Lytechinus pictus: one gene and its partner. Each later gene encodes a partner of the first gene's protein in a complex. Links are inferred from orthologs where the notes say so. Each region holds a gene or a part of one and is shown on either strand. Other genes may lie near its edges.

What was found.
Region 2: vacuolar protein sorting-associated protein 51 homolog (region 1) and vacuolar protein sorting-associated protein 54-like share a complex: the UniProt entries of both Homo sapiens proteins name them as parts of the golgi-associated retrograde protein (GARP) complex. The link is inferred for Lytechinus pictus from reciprocal best matches to the Homo sapiens genes VPS51 and VPS54.

Annotation. Positions count from the first base shown.
Region 1 is NC_087256.1:24,417,689-24,424,908, forward strand, and holds the start of vacuolar protein sorting-associated protein 51 homolog, read left to right. Parts: upstream 1-4,152; 5' UTR 4,153-4,193; coding exon 4,194-4,283; intron 4,284-6,027; coding exon 6,028-6,116; intron 6,117-6,863; coding exon 6,864-7,020; intron 7,021-7,220. UniProt on the Homo sapiens protein: Acts as a component of the GARP complex that is involved in retrograde transport from early and late endosomes to the trans-Golgi network (TGN).
Region 2 is NC_087251.1:34,989,587-34,997,188, reverse strand, and holds the start of vacuolar protein sorting-associated protein 54-like, read left to right. Parts: upstream 1-4,585; 5' UTR 4,586-4,771; coding exon 4,772-5,402; intron 5,403-6,327; coding exon 6,328-6,605; intron 6,606-7,341; coding exon 7,342-7,432; intron 7,433-7,602. Other genes in the region: cytochrome P450 3A24-like, read right to left, coding at 622-674, 943-1,036, 1,766-1,839. UniProt on the Homo sapiens protein: Acts as a component of the GARP complex that is involved in retrograde transport from early and late endosomes to the trans-Golgi network (TGN).

The DNA.
Region 1 (7,220 bases):
ACATGTTGTGATAGATCGCACACCCATTTGAGACGTTTGTGACTTCTATTGTTTTATTTACGTTTCCAACATCGTCAAGAAAAGACGTATTTAATATTTCTTAACGGAGAACAAGGGATCATAACGAAAGGTATATCAAATCTATTTTAACTTGTTGACCCCTAAAAACAGCTTTAAAACATGTTGTGATAGATCACACACCCATTTGAGACGTTTGTGACTTCTATTGTTTTATTTACGTTTCCAACATCGTCAAGAAAAGACGTATTTAATATTTCTTAACGGAGAACAAGGGATCATAACGAAAGGTATATCAAATCTATTTTAACTTGTTGACACCTAAAAACAATTTTAAAACATGTCCTGATATAGATCGCACACCCATCTGAGATGTGTTTGACTTCTATTCTGTTTTATTTACGTTTCCAACATCGTCAAGAAAAGACGTATTTAATATTTCTTAACGGAGAACAAGGGATCATAACGAAAGGTATATCAAATCTATTTTAACTTGTTGACCCCTGGAAAATTTTTCAATCATGCCCTGATAGATCGCACACCCATCTGAGATGTTTGTGACTTTTATTTTGTTTTATTTACGTTTCCAACATCGTCGAGAAAAGACGTATTTAATATTTCTTAACGGAGAACAAGGGATCATAACGAAAGGTATATCAAATCTATTTTAACTTGTTGACACCTAAAAACAATTTTAAAACATGTCCTGATAGATCGCACACCCATCTGAGATGTTTGTGACTTCTATTTTGTTTTATCTACGTTTCCAACATCGTCGAGAAAAGACGCATTTAATATCTCTTAACGGAGAACAAGGGATCATAACGAAAGGTATATCAAATCTATTTTAACTTGTTGACACCTAAAAACAATTTTAAAACATGTCCTGATAGATCGCACACCCATCTGAGATGTTTGTGACTTCTATTTTGTTTTATCTACGTTTCCAACATCGTCGAGAAAAGACGCATTTAATATCTCTTAACGGAGAACAAGGGATCACAACGAAAGGTATATCAAATATAATTTAACTTGTTGACACCTAAAAACAATTTTAAAACGTGTCCTGATAGATCGCACACCAATTTGAGATGTTTTATTTACGTTTCCAACATCGTCGAGAAAAGACGTATTTAATATTTCTTAACGGAGAACAAGGGATCATAACGAAAGGTATATCAAATCTATTTTAACTTGTTGACACCTAAAAACAATTTTAAAACATGTCCTGATAGATCGCACACCCATCTGAGATGTTTGTGACTTCTATTTTGTTTTATCTACGTTTCCAACATCGTCGAGAAAGACCTATTTAATATTTCTTAACGGAGAACAAGGGATCACAACGAAAGGTATATCAAATATAATTTAACTTGTTGACACCTAAAAACAATTTAAAAACATGTCCTGATAGATCGCACACCCATCTGAGATGTTTGTGACTTCTATTCTGTTTTATTTACGTTTCCAACATCGTCAAGAAAAGACGTATTTAATATTTCTTAACGGAGAACAAGGGATCATAACGAAAGGTATATCAAATCTATTTTAACTTGTTGACACCTAAAAACAATTTTAAAACATGTCCTGATAGATCGCACACCCATCTGAGATGTGTTTGACTTCTATTCTGTTTTATTTACGTTTCCAACATCGTCGAGAAAAGACCTATTTAATATTTCTTTACGGAGAACAGGGGATCATAACGGAAGGTATATCAAATCTATTTTAACTTGTTGACCCCTAAAAACAGCTTTAAAACATGTTGTGATAGATCGCACACCCATTTGAGACGTTTGTGACTTCTATTGTTTTATTTACGTTTCCAACATCGTCAAGAAAAGACGTATTTAATATTTCTTAACGGAGAACAAGGGATCATAACGAAAGGTATATCAAATCTATTTCAACTTGTTGACACCTAAAAACAATTTTAAAACATGTCCTGATAGATCGCACACCCATCTGAGATGTGTTTGACTTCTATTCTGTTTTATTTACGTTTCCAACATCGTCAAGAAAAGACGTATTTAATATTTTTAACGGACAACAAGGGATCAAAACGAAAGGTATATCAAATATATTTTAACTTGTTGACCCCTCGAAAAATATGTATCACCAATAAATATGAGATGCTACCAACTTCTATTTTGTTTTATCGACGTTTCCAACTTTTTCGAGAAAATGCATCTTTAATATTTCTTAACGGAGAATAGGGGATCATAACGGAAGGTATATCAAATCTATTTTAACTTGTTGACCCCTAAAAACAGCTTTAAAACATGTTGTGATAGATCGCACACCCATCTGAGATGTTTGTGACTTCTATTCTGTTTTATTTACGTTTCCAACATCGTCGAGAAAAGACGTATTTAATATTTCTTAACGGAGAACAAGGGATTACAACGAAAGGTATATCAAATATATTTTAACTTGTTGACACCTAAAATCAATTTTAAAACATGTCCTGATAGATCGCAAACTATTCTGAGATGTTTGTTACCTCTATTTTGTTTTACTTTCCTTTCGTCAATTACATTTCGTCATGGAGAACGGGAGTTCATAACGAAAGGCATACAAAATATATTTTCACTCGTTCGCCCCTCAAAACAATTTAAAAGCATGTCCTAATCCGCCACCGTTTTGCTTGCGCGACTCTCGTAAACACGGATTTTTTTTTTTTTTATTGGTACTTTGTACTGGAAGCTAGCCCCAGGCAACCCCTATTCCCCCCTCTCGTAGATCCGCCCGCACCTCACGCGCTGCATTCGCTGCAAAGCTTCGCTGCAAATGTTGATCCGACGTGCACGCCGAACACTGACCTCATTTTATGTGAAGTGTACGCTGGCGCGCTGTGTGTGTGTATGTGTATGTGAACCTGCACTATTCAGTGTATTCTCGTGCGACGCTCCGGCGGATTAGCCAATAGCGATCGAGATAATAATTGCCCCGTTCCCCAGCGTGTACGGATTATGCAAATTAGATTTAATGTAGAATATAACGGTACTTCGTACTAATCTCTTGGAACTCCTTTGCACACTCTCATTATGGAACAATGGCTATGCACGCGTTGGAACGCATTTGGGGTTTTGACGCCTCGCCTAAGCATTACAAGTACTTGATCGAATGCAGAGGAAGTTCAGCAAGAGCTGAAAACAAGGTTTGAAGTTTTGGGTTCACTCAAGCATAAGATGTGCATACTGTGTAATCTCAGTGAAACTTACAAGCAGTCCGAAAAAGTAGTGTCCAAGAAACTCTTGTATCTTTTCTTTTATTCAACTTCACAACTTCACGACAATTTTTTTACAGTATGAAGAAGAAGAATTGCTCTTTCAGATAAGCCATTTTTCTAATTTTTGTTTTTTGGAGACTAAATTACTATTTTGGCTATTTACAGAGAACCTAACCTGGCGACTTATTGGTGGTTTGGGGGTGGTAGGTCACATATGTATTCATGTGGTCATACTACCTCAGGTCTGATGAACCCATTCCTACAAAATTCAAGGCTCTAGATAGAATGACCCATATGTTGCATTCATTTCTGATGACAATGCTTTGTCAGTATCTACTTTGAATTATCCCAGATACTACTCTAAAAGTGCATACACAAGAATCTTGCCACCATGTAACCTGTTTTTATTATTTACATACATGTATATGCGAGCTTCAGTTTCTTATAACTCAATTTTTTGAAGGACCTATTCTTTGGATAATGTACCATATTCTTTAAAAATATGCCGAACCTTCAATTCATTCAAACATTATTACAAATAACATCTTTCAAGTTTGTATTCTTAATTTGCTGTATAATTACGCTATTCTGAATTTACGTGTTAATATTTGTTTTCATTTATGTTATCTGTTTTTGGAATATTAATTATTTTTGTCTTTATAGATGTTGGGTCAACGTTCAATAAGGCTACCTGCTCTTTTTTGTTGGCCCCTCATTCTCATAAATATGTTTTTTGTATGTCATAACAATGTTTTACTTCTATATCTTATGTATGTTTTTCATGTTTGTTTGTGTTTTTTTGAGAATGTAAATGAATTGAATTGAATCTATATGCTACTTGTAGACTTTGTGATGCAAATTCTTTGTCTACATGTATATCTACTTTGATTTCTCTCCCAGATACTACTCCAAAGCGCGTGTTGTCCTACTTCAGTACCAGCACATGCCTTCATTCCACGGTATCCATAGAGACTGCAATGAAATCGTCAATGAACTAAGGCTCAAGTTAAGAGAACAGTTCGGGAACAAAGAGGTAAATGTTCTATCATTCTTAAAAGGCTTAGTCCCACTCCACTTACGGATGCAGAGATGATGTAAAATGGAAAAGAATCTTGCCATCCGTTGGAAAACGTTTTGTATCCGTTGTGTACTCTTGGCATACATGTATCATACGCTCTATATCCATCGAGCATCCATCCACTGTTATTTCATTGTTCGCCCATCTTGTCCATTGTCTGGAGTGGATGAAACCGGATGGAGCCACCCCAAAATTTTGCTTGTCCGCTGTATCCGTTATGAATACGTTTTTGTGTCCTTCGGCCAGTGGGACCAGGCCTTTAGATTATTGGGCAAAAACTTTGCCGTAATACATGTAAACTTGAATCAAATATTCGCCAAGGTCAAACCAATTTTTTCATGCCAGATTAGGCTACACATCTTTTATAGACCTCTTCTAAGGCACATTTCTCATTTGAACAAAACAGATTTGTGGTCCGAATAGATTGGAATTAAGAAGCAAAGTTATCTGCATTTTGAACTGATTGTAAATAGCACTTCTGTTTACACTTTGAGTCGGGTAACCATATTTACCACATCATTACACTTTACTCAGATTGCAAAGTCAACCTGGAATTTTGATTGAAAATTGTTAGATTCTGTGTTATTATCTTTGAATTCAATCCTCGATCATATATTAAATTTTATCTACTCTGTAATTACTTTTACATAGTTATTATTCCATTGTCTGATGCTAAACAGCTTGCTTGATGTGTAGATCTGTTGCTTTTAACCAATAATTGTGTTATCACTTTCATACAATATTAATTTCTTAGTCTGATGCCAAACAGCTGGCTTAATGTGTAGATCTGTTACTTTTAACCAACTATTGTGTAATCAATTTCATACAGTAATTTTTATGGCTAGTCTGATCTAGGCAGAATGTTACACGTGTGTTTAACCAAATATTGTGTAATCACTAGTTTCATACAATGATTATTCCCTAGTCTGATGCTATAAAACCGCTAGCTGAATATGTAGATCAGTTTCTTTTAACCAACCATTGTGTAATCGCTTACAAACAATGATTATTCCCTAGTCTGATGCTAAACAGCTAGCTAAATATGTAAATCAGTTTCTTTTAACCAACCATTGTGTAATCGCTTACAAACAATGATTATTCCCTAGTCTGATGCTAAACAGCTAGCTAAATATGTAAATCAGTTTCTTTTAACCAACCATTGTGTAATCACTTTCATACAATGATTATTCCCTAGTCTGATGCTAAACAGCTAGCTGAATGTGTAATCTGTTTTTAACCGATGTTGTGTAATCACTTTCATATGAAGATTATTCCCTAGTCTAATGCTGAACAGCTATCTGAATATGTAGATCTGTTTCTGTTAACCGACCATTGTGTAATCGCTTACATATACATGTAGTATTTATTTCCTAGTCTGATGCTAAACAATGTGTAGATCTGTTGCTTTTAACCAACTGTTGTATAATCAATTTCATACAGTAATTATTATGGCTAGTCTGATGCTAAGCAGAATGTTACATATGTTTTTAACCAACCATTGTGTGATCTTTCATACAATGAATATTCCCTAGTCTGATGCTAAACAGCTAGCTGAATTTGTAGATCTGTTTCTTTTAACCAACCATTGTGTCATCATATACGTGTAGTAGTTATTCTCCAGTCTGATGCTAAACAATGTATAGATCTGTTGCTTTTAACCAAATATTGTGTAATCTTTCATACAATGATTATTCCCTAGTCTGATGCTAAACAGCTAGCTGAATGTGTAGATTTGTTGCTGCAACTCAAAGAACCACCCGATGAGCTCTTTGATGAGTTTCTTTCTCAGTAAGTATGAGTAATGACTTCTTAATGAATTGACAGCTTTAACTATGTAGACACTTTCTTATTATTAGACTTGTTTCTTCAAAGTAACTGTCATTGTAACTTTCAATATATCTGTAAAGCGCTTAGAGATGTTCCGATGTATTAATCGCTATATAAAAGCAGATTATTATTATTATTATCATCATCATCATCGTCAGGATCATCGTCATCATCTTTTTCACTTCATATTTCCTTTCTTTTAACCGCTTAGAGGCAATTTGTGGTATACAAAATGATTATTATTATTAATTATTATCATCGTCATCATCATCAATCATTATCATTGTGACTTTGCCATTCTATGGTAACAATGCTCAACAACCACTCAAGTCTAGGATTCCAAGGAAGTTACAGATGGATCTCAAAGGTACCATTATCGTGACTCTTCATTAACAGACCCCAATGGCCCGATGTATGAAATTTTACTATTAAAATCATCACTTCACTGGAAAAATGATATTGATTTGTAGGTATTTATTAAAGTATTGTTATCAAGGTAGTTGGCTAGTTGCATTAAAGATACCAAAGTTTCTGTAATAGTAGCTTTTTTAGGAAATTGGCAAGAGGTTATATTGTCCGTAAATGATGATATTGGGGATTTTTGGGGAGTGGGTTATGTTTATCTTTATTGAAGGAACGAAATAATTTGTTAATTTCATGTAATGAGTGTATTTAGACTAAATTTCGTGTCTGTGAATTCACTGACAGTGCCCGACACAAGTTGGATGAGAGTCTGAGGGAGATGTCAAGTCATGTGAAGACTGGTAGACAGCGGACCGCATCCAGCCCTGAGGAAGATGAGGATGGTGTTAGCAATCAGGAGGGGGAGAGACCCTCTGATAAGATCATGAGGTCACTTCCAATGGTGAGCCTAACTTTTGTTTTGATATGTTTCTCCCTCTGGGCCTCCATATCTTCATCGCTCTGCACATTTCTGTATTGTTGAAATAGAATATTTGTGTGTGTATTGTGGTGTTTTTTCAATATCCTGTGTTTATTGGCCTCTCTTTAAAGGAGAGGGACATCTCATAGTATACACATAGAATGCACGTAAGCGCATGCATG
Region 2 (7,602 bases), on another chromosome or scaffold:
TGTTCAGTGCCGGACCCAGGTGGGGTGGAAACTATCCTGTGCCCCCCCCCCCCCCTTGTAAGCCTTGAAAAGTTTTTTTTCGTGGAAACAGCCGTGCAAGTCAAGACCCTTTTTTCAGATTTTCAAAAATTTTCTCCCCTTTCCACTTTTAGAATCCCTGGATACTTTATTGCATTTTGCATAATCATTATTATTAACTCTTTGCGCGCTGATGTTGCAATTTTGCACATTCGTACAAATAAATTGAACAATGGTAATAATTAGTTTTCTCATTGACATACATATTAGAAAAGCTTATAAATTACAATAGTTCTTGGATAACATCTATATAATAATCATAAGTATCAGTGATACAATGCAGAAGTCTTCATTCAAATAAAATAGCATTGAAACAGTTGTCATTATTAACCCCCAAAATCAATTCAGCATGTGAAGAGTTAAGTTCAGACTGAAATACTGCTAAAAGGAGCGAAATACAAACACATAAAGAAACAGACAAAAAAAAACAGTAAGACATCTTTACTTTTTTTCAATTTGCATTTTGACTACATACTTTTTTCATCTTGAACTATGACCTATAGTGTGTGCATACACTCAACATCTATAGACTGATATACACACCCAAATACTGTGCCGAATTTCTCTTGACATTTCAAAAAGAATCCAGGAACACTCTAAACAAAATCGAAAGAAAAAAACAACGAGATAAATATCATTTCTGGCGCATTATGTTCATTATTTATAAAAATAACTATTTGTCACATAAATGAGGTGAAAGGTTAAAAATGTCAAAAAATAAATAAAAGAGAATGTAAAAAAACATCTGTCATTGGTGTCTGTTATATGAACAACCACAAAATCCCAAATATATAGTAATCATTTTTTTACAATGTGCATAATGACGTGTGTGCTATATATTTTTTTCTAAATATGTCTATATACCTGCATGATTTGAAGAGCGTTGCCGAACAAAGGATTTGCAGAAGGACTTTTGATCCCACGTCGTTTGAAGTAGGTCAGTCTCCATATCTCACGTCTGAAGGAAAACAAATGTACACATTGAATTAGATGATGAAGAATCATATCCTAGCAAGAGGAGACAGAATATGTAAGCCCTAAATGACTTTTCATACGAAAGAAATCGTAGATATACTGTATTATGTCTGAGTGAGTTGATTCAATTGATTAACTGACGCAACAACGCAGTCTTTGACACATTATCATTTTAATGATCATTTTGATATATAGGCTAGCTACCCTAATTATATGATTTCAATAAATGTTATTGTGGTCGTAATCGTTATGTCTATGAGGCAACAACGATGATTATAACTTTAAAATTTACTTGTTAATATCATAGAAGAACAGACCTATTGACAACATTGCAAGTTGAAAATTATGTTCCAAGGACAAGCTACAGTGCTGCCTTTCAGTCCAACAGATCTCGCAGTGGGCATGCAAGTAGTGAAATTGCCCTCTTTCAATTTTACCCTTGCGTCTTCTCCGGTTGAAGTATCTCCTACTATACCCCCACCCTAGCTCCCTACTCATTTTTAGCACCCTAAAGTGGTACAATTGACAAGTGCCCCCCCCCCCACCCTACATACATTACTGCTGCATGCATCCTGCTGGATCATTCGTTTCTAGGTACAGCATGGTATTCACAAAGAAGAAAATAATGAATTTATCTGGTTAATAACCTTCTATACGTAAGCCTACTGGTCCATACATGATTCTACCAATAATATTACAAACTCATACTTACCCAATAAGGATAGCGATCAGGCTACCAACTAAGGGCCACGAAACCGTGTATCCCCTAACAGAGAAAAGGGTCATCGTCACATACGTGATACTGAATTAAGAGAGAGAGAGAGAAATCAGAATGCAATTCAGGTAGCTTCACCGACTTGAGATATTGGGCATCCAAATCAAAATTCAACCTGAACTAGAGCACAGTGTTGAGTTTAGATGCATGATAGGTCTGACTATATGCGTGTCTCTAGCCTCTCAATCTCACCGCTACGCACAACGCTTTCAAGAAAATAGAAAATAATATGGGCCTATATTGTCAAATGCCCTCCGGGTACTTAGCAACTGTCTAAAGATGCTGGAGAATCAAAACAGCAGTTTTGTTCTGGACTCTGGACAAACGACATATATAGTGCAATATTCGTCAGCTCCGGAACTTAGGACGAATCTGCTGTTCCGCTTCACTAATTTTCGACAAATACCTCCCAGCTGTTAATTGTCATTTGACCGGCATTTTCAGTACACTTACCGCTTACTATGTTCTCGAATTCGTTCGGCGTGGCTGTGCGAAAACTTGCTTTAATCAGATTATGGAGTATGAAAGTTCAACAAGCGTGAATGAGTATGAACAATTTCATATTTGGTAAAATGGACTTTGAACATCGAAAGGTAGTTGAGCCGAACAAAAAAATGAGTGGTTTAAAATTAATGAGTATATGACAGTTATGAATTTAGATTGTGGCTTGTGTTTCTAGTTCTAGCAGTTTAAATTTGCATTGCGAATTCTTCCGCCGTCCTTCACAGGCATTTCGTTTGCTGTAACAGGCAATTCACTTAACTTGTATTTCTTCTCTCAGCCCTTTCCTGGCCCTTCTTGCATATTTGTATTGTACTTTTGTTAGAGGCGTGTTACAGTTTTTGCTATTAGGGAATTACGACATCTTCTGTTATTAAAAAATCTCTTATGTATTTTTATTCTATGACAAATTATTTTGTATAACTTATATTGAAAAAAATATATATTTCATGAAAATGGAAGAGAATAAATTTCTACTTGAATGAAAATGAGTGAAAAGAATATTTCGATTTTGCGATTATTTCTTAAGATGTTTTCCGTATAATCACACCTCCGAAATTTTAATAGGCCTACATGGATGGAAATTTATGCATTACTCCTCTTATGCCCGGCTGTTATGACCGTGTTTCATAATCATTCTAGCATAATATGATAGAGAACTATATCTCTATATCAATATAAGTTTGATATTCCTTATGACATTTTTTTTTTAATTTCGAGATAAACATTTTTTTTATCTGCGTTTATTTTCTCTAACGGTGTAACCATTCAATAAAAGTTAAGTCATAAGAGCAATTTGATGTAGAGGTTTTTTTTCCTCCATCCAATTTTCCTCTGAATAGAGTTTCACACTTGTGCACGTCAAAGAACATTGAGTATGTATCCATCCATGTTTTGTTTTTTTAATATATATCTGTAATTTTTTTTATATATATCTTTCTAAAATTCTCAGACAGATATAGGCCTAAGAATACGTTATTCAGTGTTACCCCCCCCCCCCCGTTTATTCGATTAAACTATTATATTTCAAAACAAACAGTATTTGTCAGGCTTCTGTGAGGTATATCAAGTTTTCGAAACTATCAAACATTATATTTATTTGTTCAAAATATTTTTTAAAAAAGAGACGCACTCTGTTGAAAAAAAAATGAAATTGAATAACATGTACATTAAGCAATTAAATTAACCCAGATTATATACGTGAATTATTGTGTTTTATGTATATGCAACTAACCGTTTTGGTTAGCTTGCCTCTTCCACGAACAATTTATCACGCGGGTTATTTACTCTGTCAATATGGAATGTGCTATTTGACGAAGACATCAATTAATTCTAAGAAACCTGTAGAACCTACTACAGGTTGAGGAGCGCACTCACATTCAACTAAAACAACAACAAACAAACAACAACGTCCTTTGTTCTTTCCTTATTCAATTTATTTTATTATGTTGTCTCTTCATAATCTGTAAATCGGAAACGAAACTAGTTGAATGAAGCTTAAATGATAAATAAATAGATTGATGATATTGCTTAATTAATTAAATGTGTGTGTGTATTTGAGTTTTTGAGTAATTAATTAAATAATCAATAGATGAATAAATGACTGAAATTCTAGATAATGAATAATTAAATACATTAGTAGATAAATAGATCACAAAGAACATTTATTTTTCTATTTTGGGGGCAATTTTTATATAAGATATGAATGGTACAGATTTTTTAACAGACCAAACTATTATTATTAAATACAAATGCCAGGTTTTTGTGGAAAAAAAATTGCATCATATATGGATGAAGAATGCTCAAATTTTTATCTGAAACCCCAGATCGGCTGTCAATAGAAACTTAAAAAAGTGGTTGACTGCATGGGAACAGTTTGCCATGAAAAAACAAAATACTAAAATTAAGACTGTCCGTCAATGAGGCACTAGCATAGGCTTAAAGATCGTACCTTAAAGATCATTATGTGTGAGATGTATACGTTATTAGTATATATCTCTATGGTGTGATATATGATTTTTGCTTTGAAGGTAGAGTACAATCAAATTGATAATTCACATTTTACTGATTGGCAATAAAATCGACAATTTCAAACAAAATAAAGCGTATACAATTTTTGTTTAATCAATTTATAGTATTTTATTATATATATTTATTTACATAACATTTAATTCTAAAATTTATAATTAATAAAAAATAAATACATGAAATAGTATAACTCACATCAAACATGTTTTGCCAATTTGATATATCGTTACGATCTATTTGTGTATAAATTGTCATAGACAGCTGTTACGTGGACAGGTACGACGTTTTCTATGCCAGAGATACGCCTGTGAAAAATGATTTTAGTTTGCAGGAAACAATATTCCACCTTGTTTCATGGATCAGAATAGTTAGCCATCATTTTTTCATATAGTATCTGGAGTATTCTACACGAAAATGAGCTCCGGACGTCGCTCAATTCCTTCGTCCAGATCACATCCGTCATTCACTTCCACTGGCTACTCGCTGGGCCTGGGGTCTCACTCGTCCAGCAGCGATGGGGAGGCACCGGGGAGGCGAAAGGAGGCTACCGGCGCGAGAAACAGACGACAAGCGGGCCTGTCAACAACAGAGCAGAATTTACGGTCAAGCGTGAGAAATACTTCAAATAGTGAAATTGAGCAAGTGTGTGAAAGAATCAATGACAAATTATCAGTTAATGATGTAATGAGTAGATCATCTAGCGACCATTCCATATCAAATCTTCATGAAATCAAAGCGTCATATTCTGCACAGCAGCAGCAGACGCATGAACGTTTAAGGCAAGGAAATGAAAGAACTACAATGATGGCAAGAACAAGTAAAAATCCAAAGATTATACCTTGGCGGAAATGTGCATTATGCAGTATTGCATTTAGAACTCAAACAGATTTTCTCAAACATTTACGGGATAAACATTGTACCAAGGAGGGTGGTTCATTTGTTTGCCGTTATGGACTTCATGGTGTTTGCCCAACATTGCCTGTGGATGGAGTGAGTGATGTAGACTATGAATATCATGTTGCAAGGGACCATATGATGGATGAAGGTAAATCACATCACTTTGTAGGGAATAATTTTGCAAAACAACAATTTTTGCAAAATTAAGTCATAAAACTCTCTCAGCTACCTCTATGATCTGAAGTCCTTTTTTACTACAAATCTGACCAGGCATTTTTTGTGTAGCAGTCTTTAAAAAGAGAGGAGCAAATGGTGATGCAAAACCAGGAAAATTATTCCTTGTTCTTACTACTGATTTAGAGTGTAGTAGAGTATTCTGCAATGTGGCTTTACCCTTTTAAACTATGTACTGCATATTGTGTACATGCATTTGCCTTATTTATAAAGCCACTAGCGATTCATGCCAGCAGACTATTATTCATTGAGTCAGTCATGAGTGGTTTTCAAAGATCAAATCCTTGTGTAAGAAAAGTGAGGAATACTTATTTCAACCTGTAAAAAAAATTAGCAGGGATGCATGTGGTTGGGAAATTGGGATTTTCATCAATTGAATTATTTGAAACATTATTTACCTTTACTTGAGATTCTGGAAGAATGCTGATGATCCCAGCAGTCGTGCTTCCAGTTCAAGTCCTTCATCCTTCTCGTTAGTTAGGTATCTTCATAGCAGTCTTGCTTGGAAATCTACACCATCCTCGACATTAGTATGGTTTATACATCATAGGGTGAGCAGTACCACTGGTCTGCCCACACCTTGTCTAGCCTTATTTTTAACAATATAAATACAATAACATTTATGTATTATTTCACATTAAGATTATATTACTATTAATTGATTTTGCTTGATAGAACTTTTACAAATCTTGTAAAAGATGAAAGCATTAATTTCTACATTATTTATTTTTACTATTTACCGCCATTGCTAAAATATATCATTGTACATGTATGTTATTTACAAATTTACACTAACAATCAATAACTTTTCTCATTGTATTTTTAATAACACCTTCCAGCTTTAGCAAACAGGTTAAAATCTGCAGCTCATAGCGACGCCCCTTCTATGACAGTAGCTCCCTCAGTGGTCAGTGTTCAGCAAAAATGGACACCCCTGTCATCTGTGGTCAACTTACCTGCTGTCTTAAATGACCCTAGAAAGGTCAAAAGGGAAACAGATTTCTTCACGAAGACGTGGGGTGAAGGCTTCGTGGATCAGAGTGAAATTCCCTCCTCTCCGTATGTCCCTCGCATTTCAAGAATCCACTTTGAGAAATATCTCAGGCAGGTGGCATATGTAAGTATGCACTTATTTATATTTCTTACCAAAATATACAAAAATAAGTATAAGAGTAAGAATGATGTATATCTGCAAGAAAGCTGTTGGGTTCTTCAAGCTTAAAAATGATGGAGGTCGTCTAAACAGTTTTGAAAAAAAAAATTAAAAGAAATATGCATCAAATTCCTTGCATTTTATAGTATTGTTTGAAATTACTCGATATGAATATAATTTTTGATACACCATTCGTATAGATCTGTGTGTACAAGCCTGCTCAAATCTTTTATTGTATTTTAACAGGGTTTGATGTAAAGAAAATTATCTTTGTGCAAAGTGCCCTACCCAAAGCATCTCTTCATGTCACAGAGATTCTTCCGCTGAGAAACACCGTAATACAACAAACTTGAGACCGTGTAGCACAAAGCACAATGTCTTGAGGATAGAGGTCACTTTTGATATTTTAAGAGCTCTCTCATTGAATTAGGCAATGATACAATGATGCAGATTCTTTGATATTGGGTGGGAGAAAAAGTTGAGATTTACAGGCACATCTAGGGCCAACTACAATATATTCAAACTCAAGTGAGGTGGGGAGACTTTGTGAAGTACATGTGTTAACTCAAAGTGGGGATCTGCCACCAATAATATGATAGTTGGAATATCTGTTCTTGTCTAGATGTTAACTCTACTTTTTTTTTAATTATGGAACTGATATGCTTTGATCTCTTTGTATTGCTCTCTCTGTCTCTTGTAGAAACTACAGCAACATAGAAGACCATCCGCAGTCAGTACATCATCACAAAGCGATGATGATCAGAGCTCAAGTCTTGCCAGTGGAAATCGAGGTTAGAAAAAAAAAACATTTCCTCGAATTTTTGTTCCTTTATCATTGCATATCTCTGTATATTTGAGTATCTGAAAAACATTTTTGTTATAACATTCAGAAACAATAATATATTTCTAATTATTTCGAACAAAGTTCTCAACTCTGTTTTTTGTTTACAATATGCTCCAC